Stegostoma tigrinum: one gene and its partners. The main gene of each other region encodes a partner of the protein of the gene in region 2 in a complex. Links are inferred from orthologs where the notes say so. Each region holds a gene or a part of one and is shown on either strand. Other genes may lie near its edges. The genes, in order: taf11, taf7 and taf8.

Evidence for each region.
Region 1: taf7 (region 2) and taf11 share a complex: the UniProt entries of both Homo sapiens proteins name them as parts of the TFIID basal transcription factor complex. The link is inferred for Stegostoma tigrinum from reciprocal best matches to the Homo sapiens genes TAF7 and TAF11.
Region 3: taf7 (region 2) and taf8 share a complex: the UniProt entries of both Homo sapiens proteins name them as parts of the TFIID basal transcription factor complex. The link is inferred for Stegostoma tigrinum from reciprocal best matches to the Homo sapiens genes TAF7 and TAF8.

The regions. Positions count from the first base shown.
Region 1 is NC_081374.1:38,050,141-38,053,893, forward strand, and holds the start of taf11 (transcription initiation factor TFIID subunit 11), read left to right. Parts: upstream 1-1,316; 5' UTR 1,317-1,587; coding exon 1,588-1,973; intron 1,974-3,753. UniProt on the Homo sapiens protein: The TFIID basal transcription factor complex plays a major role in the initiation of RNA polymerase II (Pol II)-dependent transcription.
Region 2 is NC_081368.1:72,088,413-72,092,165, reverse strand, and holds the start of taf7 (transcription initiation factor TFIID subunit 7), read right to left. Parts: upstream 2,443-3,753; 5' UTR 2,128-2,442; coding exon 2,088-2,127; intron 1-2,087. Other genes in the region: zgc:101583 (magnesium transporter NIPA2), read left to right, coding at 2,792-2,812. UniProt on the Homo sapiens protein: The TFIID basal transcription factor complex plays a major role in the initiation of RNA polymerase II (Pol II)-dependent transcription.
Region 3 is NC_081374.1:14,878,722-14,882,474, reverse strand, and holds the start of taf8 (transcription initiation factor TFIID subunit 8), read right to left. Parts: upstream 2,605-3,753; 5' UTR 2,542-2,604; exon of another isoform or gene 2,149-2,541; intron 1-2,148. UniProt on the Homo sapiens protein: The TFIID basal transcription factor complex plays a major role in the initiation of RNA polymerase II (Pol II)-dependent transcription.

The DNA of each region.
Region 1 (3,753 bases), on a different chromosome or scaffold from region 2:
GACAAAAATCTTGTCTTTGCCTTAGTAGCTGTGCTTCACGGATTTAATTCATCATCAAAATGATTGTATGTTCTTTGCAAGTAGCCAACCTTGAAACAACTGTGCAACTAAAATATAACAAAGATTCATTACGAAAGGATGGTGTGGTGTTTTTGTATGTTATAAGGCGTTGTTACATGTGATCCATGTTTCCCATTTAAAGTTTTCTGATTCACCATTCCTATAAAGGATCAAATTAATTCCTAAGTCTCTTTTAGATGACACAATTTTCAAGTAAAAGTGATTAGCAAACCTGTTTATGATTACAAGTGTGCCTTACTCTCCGTTTGGAGATACCGGTATCAGGAAACCTGCTGTCGTGCTATGTCACATTTATCTGTCTTGTGATAGCCACAATCGCTTGTTTGCCATTTTACAGTCACATGCATCATCCAGCGACGGCCCCCTGAGTCAATCTTTTTCCTCTAGAAGCGACCTCCGTGGTTTTTCAGCCCTGGCCATAATTGTACATTTTCTTGTCTGGAATCTGTTTTTGAGTGTTCTTTCTACTTATGCTTTACGATGCTATCAGAGACTGATACGATTCAGAGATCCGAACACCCAGCATTAAACTGACAGAACCATCAGGTTTCACATTTTTAAACAAATACAAAAACTTTATTGTATATAAAAATATTAAACAATGCAAGCGCCACGGCTTTTGGGGACTTATGCTTTAAACTCAGTTCTGCATTTTACTACCCGCCAGAGCTCCTTATCTTAAAATCTTTGAAGGTACGTTCTCCTTCCCTCATCAGCAATACGCAACGTGCAAATGTTCCACTTGACCAGCAGCTTCAGAGCAACAAAACGAAAGCGACAGACCTTCCTTGACCAATCTTAGTGGTCTAACGAACACTGACGGAGGTGGAGATGTGAATTAACAGCATTGAACCACAATAACAGACTATAAAGAAAACTAATATTGTTTTTTCTATACTGGAAGTGGAGATATACCTCAAGCTAAGGATGTAGTGCCCGCAAACACTACTCAATGAAGGTTTAAAACGTTTCAAGCTACAGAAACATTAAATTATTAAGATATATTGTCAAGCAAATTACTGCAAACCTTGAAATAAAAACTCACAACCAGTCTGATGTTCATTGAAATTAAAGGTTATAACTGCTTTCCCGTCCCGGTATTTGCAACATACAGTATTTTATTTTTATTTCAGTCCAAGCAATGTGTGTTTTTTGTGACTACAACCCATTCTTAAACAGAAATGCAAATTTCTGAGACAGGAGCTGGAGATCTCAACATCCAGGAGGAGCCACAAAGCCCTAACATTGCAGCCAGAGGAAGGAGCTGAACTCGGGGATCAGTCGGGCTGAGCGGCCGCGGTAGCTTCAGGCCTGGGACATCTTTCTCGAACGCAGACCCGAGATCAGCCGGAGAATCTGAGATAACAAGGTGCGGAGATGGATGAACACATCAGGCCCAGCAGCAAAAAGGTCTAGACCCGGGATCAGCCGCAGTTTTGAATTCGCGATCTCCGTGCGGTTTGTGCCTCACCGGGATCCGTCAGCAGGTCACCCGGGGCCAGATCCATGGATTTGGAGCAGGAGGCGAAGTTTAAAGCGGCCGCGGTACCGGCCGAGCCGCCTAAGGCCGGAGAAGTGGTGGAGGCTGAGGTTTTACCCCCGGACGGTACGGCTGAGCAGCCGGGGCCCAGTGGTGCAGAGACGGCAGTGGTGGCGGCGGCGGCAGTAGTGAAGGAGAAAGAAGAGGCGACGGCGGCAGGGGAAGCCGCGGGTGGGAGACAGGCCCAAACGGACCAGAAGCCGGCGGCGCCCCGGGAAGGCGGTGCCGAGGAAGAGGAGGACGATGAGGATGGAGATGCTGTCCACCAGGCTAAGAGGCTGCGGGTGGAGCCGGCCAGAGACAAAAAGGACAAGAAGCAGAAGGTGGACGAGGACGAAATCCAGAAGATGCAGTGAGTTGTGGGGCTCTAGCTACAGGATTTCTACCCCCGGCGATGAACTGTCCCCGTGTCCAATTACAACATTTAAAAGGCACCTGGATGGTATATGAATGGGAAAGGTTAACTGGGGTATGGGCAAAATGTTGGCAAATGGGACCAGATTTATATAGGATGTCTGCTCGGTGTGGACGAGTTGGACTGGAGAGTCAGTTTTCATGGTTTAAAATCGAAATATTTGCATCAAAGAAGAGAAATGTTGCAAATTCTGAGTACAGTAGTTGCTTAGTGACTGGGAGGATTAAAATAAATTAGTATTAACCTCCAACAAAACCACATCAAAATGTTGGCGATCTCAGCACATTAGGTAACATACATAGAAGGAAAGCAAGCTATAGTTTTGAGTGGAGATGACTTCATCAGAGTTGCTTTCAGTACAGATTCAAGTTTCTGCCGTAATTTGCTCCCGCATCAAAATGTTCACCTCACTTTCGATATTTGCTCGGATTATTGCTGACATGATCTAACATAAAGTTTTGAGGGGTAACAACAGTTGCTCAGCTCCTGCAGAGTTCTATGCATATTTCCAGTTGACCACCAACTATTCTACCCTCTCCCCCAAAAGATCCCACCATCAAACATTATTTCCACAGACATCACTAACTTCACTTCACTCAGGGAATCGCGCTTTCCTCCTGCCTGCTGACCCAAACAATTTCCTGTCTCAGTTCCCCAAACTCAGCCCACTTCTGTCTTCGACCCAGAATTCACAAACGGAGCTGCCCCGGTAATAGATAACAAAGCGTGAAGCTGGATGAACACAGCAGGCCAAGCAGCATCTCAGGAGCACAAAAGCTGCCGTTTCAGATGAAGGGTCTAGGCCCGAAACGTCAGCTTTTGTGCTCCTGAGATGCTGCTTGGCCTGCTGTGTTCATCCAGCTTCACACTTTGTTATCTTGGATTCTCCAGCATCTGCAGTTCCCATTATGTCTGCCCAGGTAATAGCATCATTTCACCCTCTTCCTGCGCCACGAAACACATTTCATCATTTTTTGACTTAATTTTTTTCTCTCTCCCTTTGGCCAGACCACTCCTACTTATATTCACAATTCTTCTGACACTTTGTTCATTTCAAAATTTCCAGTTTGCTGGCACCAGGTGCCTCCTCTTGACTGTGGACATCCAATCCCTCGTTAAGATGGTCTGAAGATTTCTCCTTCTTCATTGAGAGTAACCCTGAACTCTTCTTATCCATTACCACTCTCCTCAACTCATCCTCACTTTGGACAACTTCTCCATTACCTCTTCTCACTTTCTTCAGGCCAGAGGTCGGCCATGCATACCCACATGAGCACCAGTTATGTTTGTCTCAGTGTTTGTTCTAGTCCTACTTTGGTCCTTCCCCACAACCCTTTCTCCAGTACATTGATGACAGTCTCAGGGCTCTTCCCTTTCTCATCTGGAAGGGAAAAATTTATCAAACTTCTTTACAACTTGCATCCTGTTCTCATCCTCCCCTTCTTCTACATCTGTTTCCATTTCCATTTCCAGCTGGTCACTAATATCCATTACAAACCCAGTGATTCCCTCAGTTACCTTGACTACCTGCCCCCTCACTCCACTTCCTTTGAGGACTCCATCCCATTCTCAGTTTCTTTGTGTCTGACTCATCTGTTCTGATGATGCCACCTTTTGCAGCGGGGGCCTTGGAATGTCCATCATTTTCCTCAACCAGTGATTGGCCATCACTCGACTTGGCAGGATTCTCAGCCATGTCTGATCTACCTTCTACACT
Region 2 (3,753 bases):
GAACTCAGGAGAAATGCATGTTCGTAAATTTGCAGATGTCACCAAAATTGGATGTGTAGTGGACAGCAAAGGAGGTAGCCTCAGAATAGAATGAGACCTTGGCTGAGTGAGCCAAAGAGCCAAGGAGTGGCAGATGGAGTTTAATTTAAATAAATATGAGGTGGGGCATTTTGGAAAGGCAAATTAGGGCAGGACGTATACACTTGATGGTAAGATCCATGGGAGTACAGCTAAACAAAGAGACTTTGGAGAGTAGGTGTATAGTTCCTTGAAATTGGAGTCATAGCCAGACAGGATAGCCAAGGAGGTATTTGGTATGTATCCCTTTATAGGTCAGTGCATTGAGTATAGGAGTTGGGAGATCAGGTCACAGCTGTACAGGATGTTGATCAGGCCACTTTTTAAAGACTGTGTGCAATTCTGGTCTCCTTGCTATAGGAAGGATTTAGTGTCTCAGAAATGATTTACAAGGATGCTGCCAGGGTTGGAGTGCTTAAGCTACAGGGAAAGGTTGAATAGGCTGACACTATTTTCTCTGGAGCATCAGAGGCTGAGGGGTGACCTTATAGAGGTGTATAAAATCATGAGGGGCATGGATAGGGTGAATAGCCAAGACCATTTCCCAGAGCGGGGGAGTCCAAAGCTAGAGGACATAGGTATAAGGTGAAAGGGAAAAGATTTCAAAGGGACCTAAGGGGGAAATTTTTCACAGAGGATCATGCAAGTACGGAATGAGCTGCCAGAGGAAGTGGAGGAGGATGGTACAATTACAACATTTAAAAGGCTTCTGGATGAGTGTATGAATAGGAAAGGTTTAGAGGGACATGGGATAACACTAGCAAATGGGACTAGATTTATTTAGGATATCTGCTATGAGTTGGACGGAAGGCTGTGTTTCCATGCTGTACAGCTCAATAAGTCTAAGAGCAAATCATGGGGAATCTGGACAGAACAGAATCAGTGAACTACTTCCCATTAGTGGAATAGTCAAGAACCGGATGACAATCAGCACTCCAAACGATCCCAATGCAGGGAATTTATTTTGCAGCAAGTGGTTAGGAGCAGGGATGTCCAAGAGTGCAGGAGGCAGTTTCAATTACGGTGTCAAGACAGAACTGGATATTTGTCTGAAATTTGCATAGCTGTAGGGAACAGGCAGGTTAGTGGGACCAAGTTGATCCTGGAGAGAGTCATCACAGAAACAATAGGTTGGATTGCCTTCTTCTATGCTATGACCATTCTTCAATTCTAAATCTTTTCTGAGTCCTGTCAAAAATTTTCTCATCCTTCCTGGATTTTGGTACTCAGACTGGGCATAAAACTCCAATTGAGGGCAGACTTTTTTTTAAAAAGGTGTCATAATATCTATGCTTTTGCACTCCAAGCCTCAATTTATAAAGCCCATTGTGCTTTTTCAGCCAGAGTTTTAAGGTGCTGTGCCACATTTAATGATCTGTGTGCATATGCCCCCTCAGGTCTCTTTGCTTCTGCAATCTCTTAGAATTGCACACTTTATTTTGCATTACATTTCCACATTCTTCATTCCAAGTTGTTCCTCTTTGCATTTGTCTGAATCAACTTCCTTCTGCTATATGTCTGCCTATTCCACCAGACTGCTATTTTTCTCACTGTTCAACCAAGAGGTTTCCAGTGGTGAAGATCACATCTCGTGAATAAATATAAGAAGAACTTGTGATATTGCATCTTGGACACCCAAGTCTAGGGTCATTAATATAGATAAAGTGACAGTCATAATAGTAACTTCGGGGAAGTACAATTTTGATCTTCAGACTGACAAAGGTTCACCACTGCACTGAGTGACCGCTGCCTTGGTCCCTTTTATGCCATAGGCATCAACCTTGTCGGTAAGCTAGTGATATGTCTCTACATGAAGTTAGTGCTACACAGTTTAGCCTAAACAAACTATTTCCGGTGTCGAGCTACCCCTTGTTATCTCAAATTCTTCAGCATCTGCAATTCCTACTATCTCATCCCCTGATTTAACCAGACTTGTGCAGCGTTTGTGGGGGCTGGCCTGGGGTGACAGAAACAGGAGGCGGCCAGGACCACAGGTTGAACTTCCTCACCTGTCATCTTCTTCCAGGACACGGAGCCTTTTTTATCCATATTCCTCAGGCCCGTCCGTCAATCCATCGGCCGCAGTGCCCAAGGCTCAGGATCACAAGAGACAGGGAGTGTCCAAAGGTCACAGCCCGTTGGAGGGGAGGAGGCATAGAGCAGCCCGGACTTGATTCTCGTCTCCTGGTACACAGCACTGCCCTCAACCTCGGAAACCTTCTCCCAGGGACAGGCCCAGCCAAGTTCCGACAACTCCGTGGGCGATGGGGAAGACTATTCCTGCTGCATTCGGTGGAGAGGATGGTTCCGGAGCGTGTGCGTGCGTTGTTAGGGGGTGAGGAGGGAAGTGGTCAAGTGACGGACCGGAAACGGAAGTTAGGGCGGAGCGGAGAGGGAGGTGGGTAAATGCAGCGAAGGTGAGAGTTAGAGTGGGCGGGAGAGACTGGAAGGAGTGTTAGTGAGCGGGTAAGGGTTAATGAAAAAGGGAGAGTTTGGTCGACGGCTAATGAGGAGAGAGAGGGTTTGACAGTGAGCCTGTAGAGGTGGGTGGGGTTAGCAGAGAGACAGTGGCAGCACAGTTTCTATTGGGTCTGTGAGGGCATGGAGGTGCTGCCTGTCAGTTTCGCTTCAAGCTCTTAGCTGGTCAGATATTGACCCTTCCTCTTAGAGTTCCTAAGATACTGCTTACAAAATCTATCCACTGCCAGGACCAATGGCTTCCTCTTTACCACGGGTAGGTGATGTGACATTGCATTACACACAGATTTAACTTATTGATATTTTCTAATTAACCTGTTCAGAGATATTATGGCACAATTTTCAAACAGGTGGAACTTGAATCCAGGCCTCCTGGCTCAGAATCCCCTATTCCTGGGCATTGTCCAAAGCCTGTCAAATTGACAGTCAGTAGTTCTGGTGAGATATATTGTTTACATTGAAACTCCTCTTGCAAAGTTTCTGATCTATTTGTTTTTGTTTTGCACAATTGAAATGTTTTCCTTTCAGTTTTATCCAAAAAATGTCACTGTAGAGTTGAAGATTGGTTTTCAAATGGTATGAGATCATAATTTTACTTATTTACAGTTACCTGATGTGTAACTTTATTGTGAAAAAGTTGAACCATGGTCTAGGGAAGAACACACTCACTATTCCGGACACTTGAGCATGCAACCCTGGCTAACACATAATGCAATTCTGACTGATGCTGCACTCTCAGGAATGCTGCCCTTCAGATGACATATTAAACCAAGGTTCTATCTACTGTCTTAGATGAATGCTAAAGAACCATGAACCTATTTTGAAGAAGTGAACACTGACAACATTTCAGTAACAGCACTGAAAACTTGTGCTCCAGAACTTGTCACTGAGTTCACCAAGTTATTCCAAGACAACTATAACACTGCTGTGTACTGGACAATGTGGAAAATTGGCCAGGTATGTCCTGTACACAGAGGCAACAAACCCTAGCAACCCCATGAGACTAATTTCAAACACCAGCAAGTTGATGGAAGAGGTTATTGACAGTTTAATCAAGCAGCTATTGCTTAGCAATACAGGCAGTCCCCAATTTAAGAATGACTAACTTATGAGTGCTTGTAGCTGTGATCACAATACCTTACAGGGGTGAATTAATATTAATTTTGAAGATCCAATATGTGAATATTATCTCGTCCT
Region 3 (3,753 bases), on a different chromosome or scaffold from region 2:
CAATCAATAAACTGATATTTCAAACAACACCTGAACTTTCATTTTTACATATGCAATACATCAGTTTAGATTGACAAAAGCATGTTTGCATCGTGTAAAAGCAAGGCCTACAGGAACAGAAGAACATTACATATTGGTCTTTTCACTCAATGCAGCCAGCAGCAATACTTTGAATGAAAGAAACTCTTACAAACGGGAGCTAAGTGGATCATTCACACCCACCCAAAATGAAAAACCAGCAAAAACCAGAATGCATCTCAACGTCTTTGAACATTTAAATGGAGAAAAGCTGCAAGACACCACATATTTCAAAAATATAAAGAAATCACAAACTCAAGAAAAAGCAAAAGAAACCAGAAAAAAAATTAATCTTCCCACAAAGCCACTAAAATGCCAAATGGGTTTCATATCTGCCTAGCAACAAGGTTCTTCCACCTTCTCTAGTCTTCAAAAAGAATTAAATATTGAAAAAATTGCTATCATCCATTATAAGAGCAATGAAGGAGCATGTACTTTGTCATCAACCGGTGAGTGCGAAGTTCACTAGCAGAGATGCTGCATACAAAATAAGAATTAAATTATTATGGAAATACATTAAGGTGTTCCAAGATCCTAATTCTACTATGTAGGCTTGTTGTTAGCATTTAGCCCTCTATGCATTCAATAATTTGAAACAATTACCAGCTACCCATGAGAAGCATGACGGGCGGTCGAAGAAAACAAAAAACATCTCTCTTAAAACTCAGAACACTTATTTTACTATTTCATGGGAATATAGAGCCTGCTGGTAAGGCCAGCATTTGTTTCCCATCTTGAGTTGCCATCAGGATTTGTTACATTGTTGTTTGTTCAATTACAGGTGACAGATTATTGTTCAAGCCTACCTTCAGTATATAATATAGAATGGCACTTCAGTATAGTAAATTGAATTGATTCTCTGTACTTTTAACTACTAATTACACAACCTAATTACAGCACTGACAAACAGGAGGCTGAAAGAACACAGGAAGCCAGGCAGTATCTGGAGGGAAGTCAACGTTTTGGGTATTACCCTTCTTCAGGACTGGATGTGGGGTACAGGGAGCTGCAGATAAAGAGGGGAGTGGCAAGGGAGGGTAGCGGAATGGTGCTGATAGGAGATTTTTTTTTCTTTTATTTTAAGGCTGAATTACAGGGCCACTGCACCGGCATATATTGGCTATATGAAAATTGTTACTTGCTTTGAGCTAGTTAACCTTGTAAAATCATTTTACAATACCAGTGTTGAGGCAGTGAAAATATTGCCTAATTGATGCCCAATGCACCTGAAAATCCAACCACATGCTCCTTACATCCAGTGGATATGTCTGTGGCAAGGTACTAACGATCTGAAAAACCACATCCTTCCTGGATCCCACTTTGTGGCAGTGATGCAAGTACATAGGGCTAGCTGAGAGTCAAGTGCATCAGGTAAACCCTTCAAGTAGGTGATTTTCTTTCCAAGTACTTTTCCTCATCCATTATCATTCTCGATATCCAGAAATGCTGTATTCGCTTGTCCGAAATGCTCTCCCTTCGCACCACAATTAAAGTTTTGAAAAATATTTTGTTACATCGGATATGTGTTGACTGTCACATTATCTACTGAATATGCTTTTTTCATGCTCTTAATATAATATATTATTAGTTAATCTGCCATTTTCACCTTTCCTTTAAAAAAAGCTACAGAAAAACAAGGATTGAAACAGTCAGCACAGAAGAAGTGAAACCATTCATCACTTCGCAGGATGGCTTCTATTACAACTCAATGGAGTCTAAGTTGTGTGGAAACATGTTATTTTACATGCAGATAGTGTTCTGAAGCTACATACTGTGATGGGTAAAGGCTTCACTCTTTGTTCCATCTTACTGCTGCCCAGAAATCTCTTCCACTACTGTGTGGAACCAGATTTTGCAGTTTGGCTACATTATGAATGCATCTTCCTTGGCCATCAAATAGCTTCTGGCTCAGAGGCAGGGACACCACCCACTGCATTACAAGCTCTCCTTTTAAATTAGCAGACAGATCGAATTTACAGCCATTGATCATAAACCATTTCACATTTACGTGGAGCAAGAAAAACTCTAATTCATGCAATTTTAAAAGGCATTTATCTAACGTATACTCACTTTTAGTGCCTCAGACATTTAAACTGTAAATAATCGCATTTGGAAGACTTTTTTTAAGCAAAATATTTTGCTGCATTCAAAAAAAGGCAGCCGACATCGACGAATAAATTACTTCCTTACTAAATTTTAAATTTCATGAGTGCGTTAAGCTGTATGTAACTTTATAAAACTGGGACATTTATTTCTGGTTCAGGCCTGTACACTCGAGAGACTCCTGGCTGGACACCGGCTTAAAGTAAATTAAGATTTGATTTCCTTGCTTCAGGAAAATAAAACCATCCGGTGCCTAAACGCAAGCAGACTTCACAATTACGCTTGTTTTCAGTGCGGCCGGAGATTTTAGATCCGAAAGAGTCGCACGCTATCGGGATGAAAAATGATGCAGCTCGTCACCTCAGCTCAGCTCCGCCGACCCGCTTCCGCTCCTGCTCGTCGCTGCCTGTACTGCCCCCTGCGCTGGCTGAGCGGGGACTGCAGCCTGGTGCTCCCAGCCTGACACATCGCTCGCATCGGTGCCTTAAACTGAAACACATCCTTACACCTACATGTATCCTTCACCGAACGTCTCCCAGCCGCATGGAATGCTTTTGAAATGTAGTTCCTACCTTAATTTTTTTTTGTTCTCTCTCTCAGAGGGCTGTGAATGTGTGGCATCCTTTGCCACAGAGGGCTGTCAATTATATTCAAGGAGATAGATTTCTTATCATTAAGGGCATCAGGGGTTATGGTCACAAGGCAGGAAAATTGAGTTGAGGATTACCAGATTAGCCATACAGATAATGGGAACTGCAGATACTGGAGAATCCGAGATAACAAAGTGTGGAGCTGGATGAACACTGCAGGCCAAGCAGCATCTTAGGAGCACAAAAACTGACATTTCGGGCCTAGACACTTACCATTTCTGTCCTTTATCATCTATGCCCAGAACGTCAGCTTTTGTGCTCCTGAGATGCTGCTTGGCCTGCTGTGTTCATCCAGCTCCACACTTTGTTATATCAGATTAGCCATAATTTGTTTGAATGGCAGAATATATGCAAAGGGCCAAATGGCCTTCCTCTGTTCATAAGTCCCATAGGGAATAAAGGACACCAGGCAATTTGAATGGGAAGGCACAGGTATCAGCTCAACATTTAACCAGTAAGATAACACCTTCCGACAGTTCTTATTGTAGTGGCTGGAATGAGATCAACCAAGTGGGCATTATAGAATAAGAGTTCCCTGACTGGGGCTGTTAACCTGGTCTGACCAGAGGGCCCTGGCTGACAGGAGTGTCAGCGATTCTGTTCACTCTAGGAGACAGTTCTAAGCTAGCTGGGTCAGTGTTATGTACTATGCATGTGTAAATAAAGGCTGACTTGGTGACAGGATACCAGCCTTTGTGGAGCTACTTCACATACCACCTCAGGAGTGGCAATTTTTATTTTGACCCTTGAGTCCTAGACGAAGACTTAAACCCAGACACTTTTGACTTAGAGTCAAGAGTGCTTCCAACTGCACCACAGGTGACAGCAGCATTTACAGGGCCACACTGCATATATCAAGAGCATATCAGAACTGACAATAAGACTCCTGAGACCACTAGGAACCATGGTGGCCCACGAGCCC